Rattus norvegicus: one gene and its partners. The protein of the gene in region 1 purifies or fractionates together with the protein of each later gene. This does not show direct contact. Links are inferred from orthologs where the notes say so. Each region holds a gene or a part of one and is shown on either strand. Other genes may lie near its edges.

Region 1 (4,186 bases):
CAGTGCTGTCAGGAGAGGCAGCACCAGTTGACATAGCACTGCCCCCTCCACACACATTCACCTTACTATCCCTCTGCTTCTTCAACTCTGGTGAGTGTTGTGCTGAGGGAACAGAAGCAGAGGCACCCAGCCTTGCCTACAGGGAGTTCCCGGCCTTTTATACGCCAGCAACTGCAGAGCCATAAAGGCAAAGATAAGATGGTTAAGCTGTCTGCCTCCTGTTCTGAGGATGGAATATCCGGGCCTTGGAACGTGGGAGGCCGTGCTTTACCACTGGGCTTCCTGCCCAGCCCCACACACAGTTTGCAGTTGAACATCTAACTTCCATACTTTTGAGGTAGTACCTAGGAGTAGAATTGGTAAGCCGTGTGGTAATTCTTTCATTAAAAAAGAAGATTTATTCACTTTTATTTTATGTATATGAGTGTTTTGCTTGCATGTTAAGTGTACCATATGCATGCAATACCTGCAGAGACCAGAAGAGGGTGTCTGGTCCCCTAATCCTGGGGTAAAAGATGGTTATGAGCTGTCCTGTGGGTTCTGAGAATCGAACCCAGCTCCTTTGCAAGAGCAGCCAATGTTCTTAACCACTGAACCATCTCTCCAGCTCCTTTTCACTATTTGAGGAGCTGCTCCTGCTTCATTTAGAGACAGAGACACAAAGCCCTGAACACCAAGTCTGACATGGGATGGTAATCAAACTAGTATTCACTAGCCATCCTCATCACCCTCACTCATGGGTCTCTGTAAGTACTAGATGCTCTTCTAGGCACGATGATGGCATTTGGCATATTTCATCCTTATTGCCATATGAAGCGAGTGTTATTATTCCATTTCATGGAGGGAGACTGAGGCCCAGTGAGTTTTAAGTAATTCCAGCTTGTGTATCAGCTGCTCGATAGAGTTAAGACTCAGGGGTAAGGCACGCTCCTTGGAGGCTGGCTTCCGAGTTCCTCACCGCTGCCACTGTATCACTGCTCAGGGAAGTGTCACTTTCAACAGCAAGCAGCTGGTCTCCAGAGGCACACAAGCTAGGCTGGTTGTGAAGCATGTTCTGAGGAACTGGGCACTGTGGTCCCTGAGGTAGCTTCCTGCCCTGTCAGGACACATGCAGATTGAAGTGGTGCCTGGGTACCAGCAACCCAAGGTCAGAAGGCTGTGACATCATGGTGGGTTTGGGAAGAACTACTTGTCCCAGTGCACTCTTCGATTGGGACCAAGTTACTTAAACCTGAGGCAGGTGGTAGGCCTAGGGTCACTAGTCATTTCTAACTTCCTTGTTACCTGATTTTACAGCCCAAGGAAGTGCAGAGGGCACAGGCTCAGGCCATGGAGCTGTCTAAGACCCAACCTGTGGCTATGGTAAAATCAGTACCTGGAGCACACCCTGTACCAGTGTATGCCTTCTCTATGCAAGGCCCCACGTACAGAGAGGTAAGCCCCCTATTCAACCCTGCCTCCATCTAAAAGGCCTAGACTCCTGCCAACAGTGAGGTGTAATCTTATAAGAATCTGGGCCTTTCTAAGGTCTTTATTTGCTCCACATTCTCCGTTGCTCTGGGCTGTGCCGCCCCCCCCCCCCCGAAACTCGAAATAAGCTTGAGCCACTCTCAGCCCAGCTGGGATGCTGAGACAGCCAAAGCTATGAGTCCGATCAACTGAGACTGTTGGTCAGCGGCCATGACCAGTGTGCATGGCAACCTGAGAGGGCCTCCTGTTTGCAGACACGTGCTCAGCATGCCCAAAAGAACGGGAGCGAAAACGTGCCACAGACTCCTGGTGCTCAGTTCAGTGTCTCAGCCCAGCGACATCAGAGGCACCTGAGTCACCTCTCTAACTCCCCGCTCCTCAGGAGGCCTCTCAGACAGTCAGCCCCATGAAGAGGAAGTGCTGCCACATAGATTGCTGCAGAAAGATTATCAAGATGGAGTCCACGGATGAGAACGAGGACAGGTTGTCGACAAGCTCCCCTGAGCAGCCTAGGCCCAGCACTTCCAAGGCCATCTCACCTCCCCATCCGGATGGGACTTCCAGCACTGAGAGCACCATCCCTGAAAAAGAGACACCCCTGCCCAACAACAACCATGTGGCCAGTGATGCAGGGGAAACAGGTAAGAGGATTAGGCAGGGGAATACCTGTGTAGGATCGTCATACTGCCCTCAGACATCTGGAGCACCCCAGGCCCCAGCTCCTCATTCCAATCCCACCTGGACACTCAAAGCCACCAGGACTCCCGTGTCTGAGTTGCTCTGAGCAGCCACTGAGTATGGCACCGTAGTTTACCCTGTACTTTGCTATGGTTCCAGTGTGAGGCACCCGAGGGGCCTTAGCTCTGCCTCCTTCCCTCTAAAACTGCCAGTGCCAATCTCTGCACTCTGGGGACATAAACACTCCATCTCCTCCTAATGCACACAGGACAGGGCATCCATCATCCCCAGCCCATTGGCTTACAAGGATTCTCCTGGCTGTCTTACCCCAGCCAGTGGACATCCCAGGAAGGATTTAATGCTGCCTCCCCCTGTCCATTTCAGAGGAGCGAATCGTAGTGATCAGCAGCTCAGAGGACTCAGATGCCGAGAATCTGGTGAGTAACTCGGAGTTCAGCCTAGGACTTCTGCCTCCCCTTGTTCAAGGTCCCAAAGGCCACAGCCACAGCAGGTGACTCTCAGGCTCACCTGGCAGCTGGGAAGTTCCCCAGCAAGGCAATAAAGCCTAAGTCATAGCCAGGACCATTTGCAGGCACTAGCTGCGTGCTTATTGCATCCTGGTCCTCTTCCTGCACCAGGCAAGAACACCTCTGTGATGCTTGCTGGGCTGCTTGCTCCAGGCCTTGGCTATCCTCTGTAATATCCAAAGCCCTTCTCTAGAGCTTCCTTGTGTATTTTCTATCTGCCAAGTACTCCATGAGGAAAGCTGGACAAGAGTTCATTCCCAGGCATCGTGGTGACACACACCTTTAATTCCAACACTTGGGAAGCAGAGGCAGGTATGGATCTCTGCGAGTTCAAGGCCAGCCTGGTCTATAGAGTGAGTTCCAGGAAACCCAGGGCTGTGTAGAGGGATTCTGACTGAAAAGCAACCACAAAGTCGGTCAGTGAAGGTTAGTGATAGGTAGAGTGTACCTATGGGTATCAAACAATGGATAAGAGATGCCTTGTTTACTTTTCTGTTGCTGCGGAGAGACACCGATGCAAAGGCATCTTAGAGTAGAGAGAGCTTGTTTGGCTTTGTAGTTTTAGAGGGTCAGTCTATGCTCATCATGACAAGGAGCTTAGCAGCAGGCAACAGGCATCATGCTGGTGCCGGACCCGGAGCCAGAGCCAGAGCCAAGAACTCACGTCTGACCCACAAACACAAGTTACAGAGAGAGCTGCTAACTGGGAATGACGTAGACTTTTGAAACCTCAAAGTCCACTCCCAGTGACCCACCTAACTCCAACAAGGCCACACCTCCTAATCCTTTCCAAACAGTTCCACCGACTAGAGTCCAAGGATTCAAACATATGAGCTTATGGGGAACATCCTCATTCAAACCACCAGAGACGCTCTATGCAAGATCTTACCTCATATTAGAAAACTTCTTTGAAGGCATCTTATAATGAAACCAGTGACTGTTCTGTACCTGGAGGCATGTATGTCATCAGAAACTAGGCTGTTAAGTGTCCAGAGAAAGCAGAGCATGAGAAGAGTAAGAGGTTAGACTGGAGGTCCCTATGGTCCCCAAGCTCACAGTCTGAGATCCTGTATTGGAGAGTGTACAGAACCCTCTTTACCAGCACACATCTCCCTGCTAAGTACCTGAAGACCCTCCCAGCTATGTTGGACCCCCCACCCCAGCAGAACCTGTAGTCTACACCAAGGTACCTGCCACCCACCGAGTTGGTCCTCCCATCATCCTACTGAGCAAGCTCTGACTGAGTCTTCCAGCCAGCCTACCACTTGCCAGAAGTGTGCTGCTGTTCTCAGATCTGCATTTTCTCACACAAAGCAAGGAGAGCCACCTGCCTTCATCACACCTTTGGTAGCCTGTCCTCCAGGGGTATTGTACCCTGACACAGGCCTCCTCTTATAGTTCAGGCCACCACTCCTGCTACATAGGGCTTCCCAGGCATCCTGCTAATGCCCATACACAGATGCCATATGCCATATCAACACATTCTGCTCGACGCACAGAACCTTCCAGTC
Region 2 (4,186 bases), on another chromosome or scaffold:
AATGAACTTTATAGATGGCAAAACACATCCTTGTTGAACTATTTCTAAGTAAACTCTGGTCTATTTTTAAAAACAAGGTACCTATACCTATTTAAATGTCATTGTGGGCATTAGATCAGATTATATACCCTATTAGCAACAATTCAGTTGGCATTAATTATTACTTTTCTCTTTTCTCTGGAAGAGTCGTGTATGCCAGTCTTTTTGAAGCTGTTTAGCCTTTCAGTTATCTCTGTCTTTTCCTAGAATGCCTGCAAAGTAACACTTTGCTTTTTTTCTCTATTCTGTTATTCTTTGTGTGTATAAACACTTTTCTCATTTGTTGTGGATAAACTAAGTCTGATGCTTTCACTTTGACCATGAAGTCATTAGGTCTTGATTCATGTTTCTAAACGCTGCTTCTTCCTTGGGCTCATCCCATGAAAGTTATGTGTTATACCTAATCGGCATAGAAAACTCTGTTCTGGGCCGACATGACCACAGGTCATGTTTCCCTATGTGAGGAGTGTGACGTGTGTTCCTATCCTGCCATCTCAGGAGTGTGCCCACTGCGTCTCCAGATCTCAGACCCACTCTACCTTAGCAAGCTTCCTGGCATGGTTTACCCTCCCATGGACGTGTGCCACCACACCCAGCTATTTTAATAAGTCATAGTTTAATAAAGAATTATATAGTTTATTATTAAAAGAAAGTCATATTGCTAGGCTCTGTTTTGATATTATAATCTCTTCACTTGAATTTTGCATTTTTTATTTTACTAGGTTAACTTATTTTAAAAAATTAAGTCACTTCATATTTTTCTTTCAAACATATTTTGATTGATAGAAAGGTCAAAAAATCAATTTTTATTTCTTTTTTTTTTAAGATTTATTTTATTTATATGAATACACTGTAGCTGTCTTTAGACACACCAGAAGAGGGCATCAGATCCCATTACAGATGGTTGTGGGCCACCATGTGGTTGCTGGGATTTGAACTCAGGACCTCTGGAAGAGCAGTCAGTGCTCTTAACCGCTGAGCCATCTCTCCAGCCCAATTTTTATTTCTTTTAATCAGTGAAAAATGGTATCATTTTTTTCCTCTTGGCTATCCCTTTATGATATACTTTATGAGAACAGCACTGAAATTTCAATTTTTAATTTCTTTTCTTTATTTTTAAGTTAGAGTCTCTGATTATTGGTCATGATTTTGACTTTATACTGAAATGAACACCATTAAGAATGAAGTGGTCAAGTAGTACAGTATGTGCTTGCAGGACTAGGGGAGGAGTCTTGTCTGTGTTCACTGTCTCAGGTGTGGCTTACTAATGATTTCAGTGATCTGTATGTAAGTTCTCAGATTTAGAGAAATTATTTCAAGAAAACAGTAAATTATATTTTTTAGTGAGTTAAAAAAAAGTCTAATGCTTCTTAAGGGTCAAAAATATTAAACAGTATAAAAGCATAGAATTAAAAATCAGGCTCCCTCTGTTCCAATTTCTTGACATCCTTTCCATAGGAAGTCTTAATATATAATCACCTTGTAATATATTTTTGATTATTTTAAAGGTTGGTCTTAAAGCATTTGTTCTGTGACATTTCTGTTAAAATAGTTGAATCTTTTTGTTAAATAAAGATGTAGAGCAGATGTGAAACAAACCGTTTTGTGGGGAGGTTTATATAGGACAGCCTTATTTTCATTCTAACCGTGGCAAAAGAAGCACTATTACCATGCAGGGAGTGTGGGACAAACCCTGACCTGTGCAACCCTTTCCTGTAACTAGTCATCACATTCTACACCAGATTTCTTACTCAGTTTGTCCCTTTAGTCAATCCATTACAATGTTTTTCTCTCTTTCAGATTATGCTGTGGAAGAGAAACCATCACAGATTTCAGTCATGCAGCAACTGGAGGATGGTGGCCCTGACCCACTTGTGTTTGTTTTAAATGCAAATTTATTGTCAATGGTTAAAATTGTAAATTGTAAGTTAGAATTTTTTAATTAAAAATAATTTCAACACATACTTTTTAGAGCCTTTATAATCTTCACACAAAAATATTTTAATATATAATCACATCCTACTGGAAGCAGTTCTGAGAGAGTTGGTTCTTATAAAATAGACAGTGGTGATGCTAACTGAACCTCTTACCTTTGGTCACAGAGATGAGACTGGTGAATTCTCCCTGGAGGGAAGTCAAATAAGTTTTGCAGTGATATGGGGATGTTAAGTCACAACTAATGACTAGAATAATTGTGAGTAAGTTATCCAGGGCAGCAAACAGTAGTTCTTAGTAGATCTTAAGATCCAGAAGCTTTAATCATCTTATGTGCAGAATATTATGTGGTAAAAAATGTAAACTACATAATATATACTCAAACTGCGAAACTAACTTATCAGAAGAAACAAATTCTTGGTGCTGGAAGCATGGGCATCAGTGTAAGAAAGAAGACAGTGAATTAAATCTTGATTCTTTCTGGTATGTATTAGAAAGTAAGAGGCAGCTTGCAGGGAATGTCCCCCAGTTTCCACTTGACCTTAGAAACCAGAAACAGCTCTGCACTGCTTCTCTAGACATCCTCCATTGATGAAGTGGAGGTCTCAGCCTCAGTCATTAATTAACTGCACCTTTATATATTTGGCCTATTGTTACTGTTATCCACGTTCCACCCCAGCTCATATCATGTATTGTTTGCTTATGTGATATTTCAGTGTACTACATCCAGTTTATAAGTTACAATTAGAAATTAGCTAACCTCTCCATGTGAGGACAGAAGTCATCCACTGCTTTTACCTAGTACAGCATTTTGCCATAGAAGTTACTCATTAAATGATTGTGGAACAAAAAAGAGAGAAATTAACTAGCCTATAGTTCTGAAGCACCTTAAAATAGTGGGCTAATTGAAGGGCTGGCAACTGTCTTAGTTGGTAAAGTGTTTGCCATGCAAGCAGGAAAACCTGGGTTTGATCCCGGCACCCACAGTAAAAAAAACAAAAACAAAAACAAAACTCAACCAACCAACAAACAGACAAAACAAAGAGGAGGAGGAAGAAGAGACCAGGTGAACCAGCATGTGTCTGCAATCCCAACATTGAAGAAGCAGATATGGGAATTTGAGGATTTCTGACCGTCCACTCCACCCAAATTGTCAAGCTTTATGTTCACTGAGAGAACCTGTCTCAGGAAATAAGGGGGAAAGCAATTGAAGAAACCCACCATCTCTGTGGCACATGGACATGTGTATATGTGTGCATGAATAGGACTAGGTACTTCCTAATTAGGTACCCAAAGTAGTGATTTCCATTCAAAAAGAAAAGGATCTTTTATTAGTTTTGAAACACATAGTGGTCTTATTCATTCTCTTATTTGATTTCTTTGGAAATCCTGTTGTTAGATTGCAAACAATAATGTGTCGAGGATGGACTGATATTGCTGTATGTACAAAAAAAAATATCTTTTTCTTGTGGATTTTTTTAACCCTTTCTAACCTAAAGTGAAAAAGTAAAAGTAGTCTTGACAAGCTATACTTTGTATAGTGTACAACCAAATCAAGTTGCCTTCTGATTATCTAGTATTTTCTTTCTCTCAGAAAGGATTGTAATTAAGCTAGCTAGTACATAAGAATGTATTTTCTTTTGGCCAGAACCTGAACTCAAAGCTAAAATACCGAGTTTTATTCTTTTTGTTCCTAGTCTTACATAAATAATGGTAAAGTGAGTTTTGTGTATGGGTGAGATGTGCATGTAGGTGAACATAGCCACACATGTGCCTATGAAGGCGGAGGCCAGCGGAAGGTCTGTTTGTGTATTGTATTGCTGTCCACCTTTATTTTTTGAGGTGGGGGGGGGAGAAACAGAGACAGACCAAGACCTGGAGCTTACTAGTCATCTACACAGGCTTGGCTCACCAGTGTCCTGGGGCCATCCTGTACTAAGGTGACTGGCAGGTGCCATTGCGTAAGGCCGGCTTCTTATGTGAGTGCTGGGATCTGAACTCCAGTCCTCAAGCTCATACAGCAAGTGCTTTCCTCACTGAGCTGTCTTCTCAACTCCCAGGAAAAGTGGTTTGTTTTTAAATAGTAATATGGAAGACTCTATCTTTGTTGTCTATTTAAGTCTTAAATATATTTTCATTTTTTTATTTCTTTTAACTTCCTTCCAGTTATTTTCCTAAGCATTGAGGAAAAAGCAAACAAAGCATTGCCATG
Region 3 (4,186 bases), on another chromosome or scaffold:
TAACCTCATCCAAACTGATGAGAAATTTAATCCACTGAAAATCACCAACCCCTTCTCCTTTCTCCTTTCCATTGAGACAAATGCAGTGGTTATAGCTATGTGCCACCATGCTCACTCAGAAAATAATCTTTGTTATTGTCTGAGTTGAATTTTCTTTTTATGTCAACTATTTTCCATTTTGACATTATATTAAGATGAATTTAATATCTATCTCCCCATATTGTCAGGCCCAAGATATCCCCAAAGCATCTTTCTCTGACATGCTGCTACAGCGATGTTAAATGAATAAAAAATATAAAACATTAACAAATTCTATACCTTTTTTTTAGATCGAGGTCTGGGCTGCTCCTCATATTCTTCCCCAAAAACTGGTGGTAATAAAAACTCATTTTCCATATCAAGTTCCTCTGCAGCTGACAAATTAGAAAATATCTTACTTCAAATATAACAGTACAAGATTCTGCTACATAAACACGGCCAATAAAGAGTCCCGTGACATGAAGGATCATCCAGACATGGGGTAAGTCTCAGCGAGGCGAGGCACAGGGAGACTCATACTTAACATGGTGTTGAGTTTTGCTAAACTATTTGATAAACTAAAAACCAAATGTAGCAAGTATCAATCAGTACAGAAGCATCACAGAACTGTATGATACTAGAAAAAGGAAAACAACTATAAAACTAGTTAGAAGATCTAAAAGTGCCAATCTTGTTCAATCTCTTGTCTTTTTCGTAGAATGCTTTACACTTCATTCAGTAGGAATTTATAAATTAGGGGAAAATGAGAACAGGAACACATTTGTCTGTCTGTGGCCTGGAACCTACTTTACAGAGTCTACACTTCACAACCCTCCTACCTTAGCAACAGGACTGCAGGAATGTACTATCACAAGGCTTTCAAACACTTGTCTTTTTTGAGACGGACCCTTATTAATTAAATCAGACTGACCTCACAACCTGACAGTAGCTGCCCTTAACTTAAGTTCTGCCCCCGTCTCCCAGGGCTGGGACTGTAGAGCATGCCAAGCTATCCGGACGGACGAGACGGAAGACGTCTACACTTCATCTGCACTAACCAGCAGCGAAAGGGAGCGTGTCGCTCTCTTTTTTTATTTTAAAGATTTACTTTATGTATGAGACGGAAGACGTCTACACTTCATCTGCACTAACCAGCAGCGAAAGGGAGCGTGTCGCTCTCTTTTTTTATTTTAAAGATTTACTTTATGTATGAGTGCACTGCCACTGTCCTCAGACACACCAGAAGAGGGCATCAGATCTGATTACAGATGGTTGTGAGCCACCATGTGGTTGCTGGGATTTGAACTCAGGACCTCTGGAAGAGCAGTCAGTGCTCTTAACCACTGAGCCATCTCTCCAGCCCTGAGCATACATCTGTTAAAGAAGTAAATGTATTTCTTTTCCTTTAAATATGAATTTAACTTTCAAGAACATTAAGAAAAATGCTACCAAGCTATACATTTGACACGTACCTATAATCCCAGCATGAGAGGCTGGGAGAAGGCATGCTTTGAGTTGGGGGCCAGTCTGAATTATATAGCAAAACCCTATCATGATTCCTACCTCTACGCTAATACTATCAATACCTCTGAATTGAAAAAATACAAGTATTGTATTCTTCTCTAGTTTCTAAAGTTCCTGCAATTAATTCAGTTTTATTTGGAGAAATAAAAAAGAAAAGGAGGAAGAATGTAGCTAAGTGGAAAAGTACATGCAGCATCCTCCACTACAAAGGACACACGGAAAAAAGAAACAATTATGAGGATAAGAGGTAATTTTACTAACACTGTTGATCAATTACCTTAAATACAACCATATAACTTGATTTAATAATGATAAAGTAGTATTTAAGTACCTCTGGGGAAATCTATTTCAATATCCAAATCTGGTTCATATGGTACATCGGGCATGTTGGATTGTATATCTGAGTCAGAGTTCTTTGTAAGATCTGAGCCAATTATGTCTGTCTCAATAATTACACCTGTAACCAAGCAATAATATCATTAGAAATCAAATTAAAAAAAAAAAACTTAATAGTATCTGTACTTAAGCTCCCAAAGGAAAAAGTAGAAAAGTTAATATAAAACAACTCCCGTGTGTGTGTGTGTGTGTGTGTGTGTGTGTGTGTGTGTGTGTGTGTGTGTGTGTGTGTGTGTGGTGGGGGTGGGGAGGACACATACATTACTTGCCAGTGTGATGTAAGTGCTTCCAGACAGGAATGCATGTGGAGACCAGAGGCTGACCAGAGTCCTGTGTTTTTCTTTGTTTGATGGATCCATCTTCCCTTCCTAATCTGTCAATTCACACTAGGGTTAGACACAAGCCACTGTGCCTGATCTTTTAAATAGGTTCGGAGGATCCAAATTCAGGTTCTCATCTCATTCTTATATGGCAGGCACTTTACTGAGTGGGCCATTTCCCCATGTCAATATTCATAAAACAATTCTTTATCAGAAATAAACTTATGGAAATAAACAACTATGGTTTTCAAACAGTATTTTTGAATTTTGACCAAGTTTACACATACTTAGTATATGCTTGTTAATAGCTACCATATGTTTCGATGAACTGTTTAACTGTTTTGCCGTAGTTATAAATGCATTCTATCTAATATATACTAGAATGACAATAGGTCTCCAGACAGAAATTAAGACAAACGTATATAATTAGGAAACAAAGGCGTTCACAAACCCACCTAACTCTTCTCTGAAGGATTCAGACATGGCTTCCCATTCTTTTTCCCATGAGGTATGTAGTGTCATATACTGGACACACCTAGAACTCACGTTCCAACACCTGAGCGCAGGGACTAAGTGGGTGTCTGTATTTTATTCTTAATTAAAAATGAACACCACACTAGGTGGTGGTGGCACATGCCTCTAACCCCAGCACTTGGGAAGTAGAGACAAAGGGATCTCTATGAGATCCAGGCCAGCCTAGTCTACAGCACTAATTCCAGGACAGCCAAGATTAGACAAAGAAACCCTGTCTCAAAAAACAAACAAACAAACAAACAACAACAAAAATCATACCACTAAGTACAATCCACTTCATTTGACAACCTCTGAGAATACTGCAAAACAACTTCTACACTTTTCTTCTGGTATAAAAGCAATTAGACAGTTCAGGACTAAAAATGGATTCTAAATATTACCAGAAGACTACGGATAGGAAGGAATAAATGTTCAAAAGGACAGAGTTGCCCAACAAAACACTCATATTAAATCACACCACTATGTAGCAGTGTCCTAAAAGAAAGTAGGAAAAATTCTGGTTTAGATAAATATAATATAAATATAATAAAGCAAATTATATTTGATTAGTATAAAAAATAAAATATTACTAGAAATAACGATCACAAAATAAAATCTTAGAAACCTAAGAAAAATAACTGAACTGAATTCAAATCCTATTACTATTAAAACAAAACAAAATAAAAAAATAGGGAGTGAGTGAATTAGAAGCAATGGCTGCTCTTGCAAAGGACCAAAGTTCAGTTCCCAGCCCTTACATGGTGGCTCATAATCTATAACTCCATTTTCAAAGGATATAATGCTCTATCTTCTGAACTCCACAAGTGCCAGGCATACACACATGCAACTCTCAAACACATAAAGAAATCTTACCAAAACAAACAAACAAACAAACCCACCCAACTTTTGTTTCTAAGAAAAGGTAATCTTATCTACTTCAGAAGATGACACTGAAGACTTCTTGAGGCCAAGAGTTTATTGCCTCGGACACATTCTAAGTCTCCATCTCAAAATAAAACAAAATATTCCACTAGAGATCAAGCTTAGCATTAGAGCAAACCTGGTTCAAGTTGGAGTGTGTATTCCTCTTTATTAAAAAATTGTGTTGTTTTATGTGTACAGGTATTGTACATGTATGTATATCTGTGCACCACTTGCATGTCTTATGCCTGTGAAGGCCAGAAGAGGGCAGGGGAATCTCTGGAACTGGAATTAAAGAAAGATATGTGGGTGCTGGGAACCAGATCCAGGTCTTCTGCAAGAGTAACTAGTACTCTTAACCACTGAGGCAAAGTGTGTTATTTCTTAATATAAAATATTTCTGCTATAATCCTTTTTCCTGCTACAGGATATGCCTTTAAGTATTGTAAAGATGACAATACATAGACCCCGTCCCCCAAACCTCTTGCTGACAA

The links.
Region 2: the proteins of Pml (region 1) and Zfyve9 purify together in Homo sapiens (affinity purification with western blotting; 3 studies listed by BioGRID and IntAct, with this or other methods). This does not show direct contact. The link is inferred for Rattus norvegicus from reciprocal best matches to the Homo sapiens genes PML and ZFYVE9.
Region 3: the proteins of Pml (region 1) and Zmym2 purify together in Homo sapiens (affinity purification with western blotting; 3 studies listed by BioGRID, with this or other methods). This does not show direct contact. The link is inferred for Rattus norvegicus from reciprocal best matches to the Homo sapiens genes PML and ZMYM2.

The regions. Positions count from the first base shown.
Region 1 is NC_086026.1:67,534,143-67,538,328, reverse strand, and holds part of Pml (PML nuclear body scaffold), read left to right. Parts: intron 1-1,296; coding exon 1,297-1,434; intron 1,435-1,852; coding exon 1,853-2,111; intron 2,112-2,532; coding exon 2,533-2,585; intron 2,586-4,186.
Region 2 is NC_086023.1:128,660,582-128,664,767, reverse strand, and holds part of Zfyve9 (zinc finger FYVE domain-containing protein 9), read left to right. Parts: intron 1-1,839; coding exon 1,840-1,962; intron 1,963-4,186. UniProt on the Homo sapiens protein: Early endosomal protein that functions to recruit SMAD2/SMAD3 to intracellular membranes and to the TGF-beta receptor.
Region 3 is NC_086033.1:35,206,557-35,210,742, reverse strand, and holds part of Zmym2 (zinc finger MYM-type protein 2), read right to left. Parts: intron 2,000-4,186; coding exon 1,874-1,999; intron 414-1,873; coding exon 319-413; intron 1-318. UniProt on the Homo sapiens protein: Involved in the negative regulation of transcription.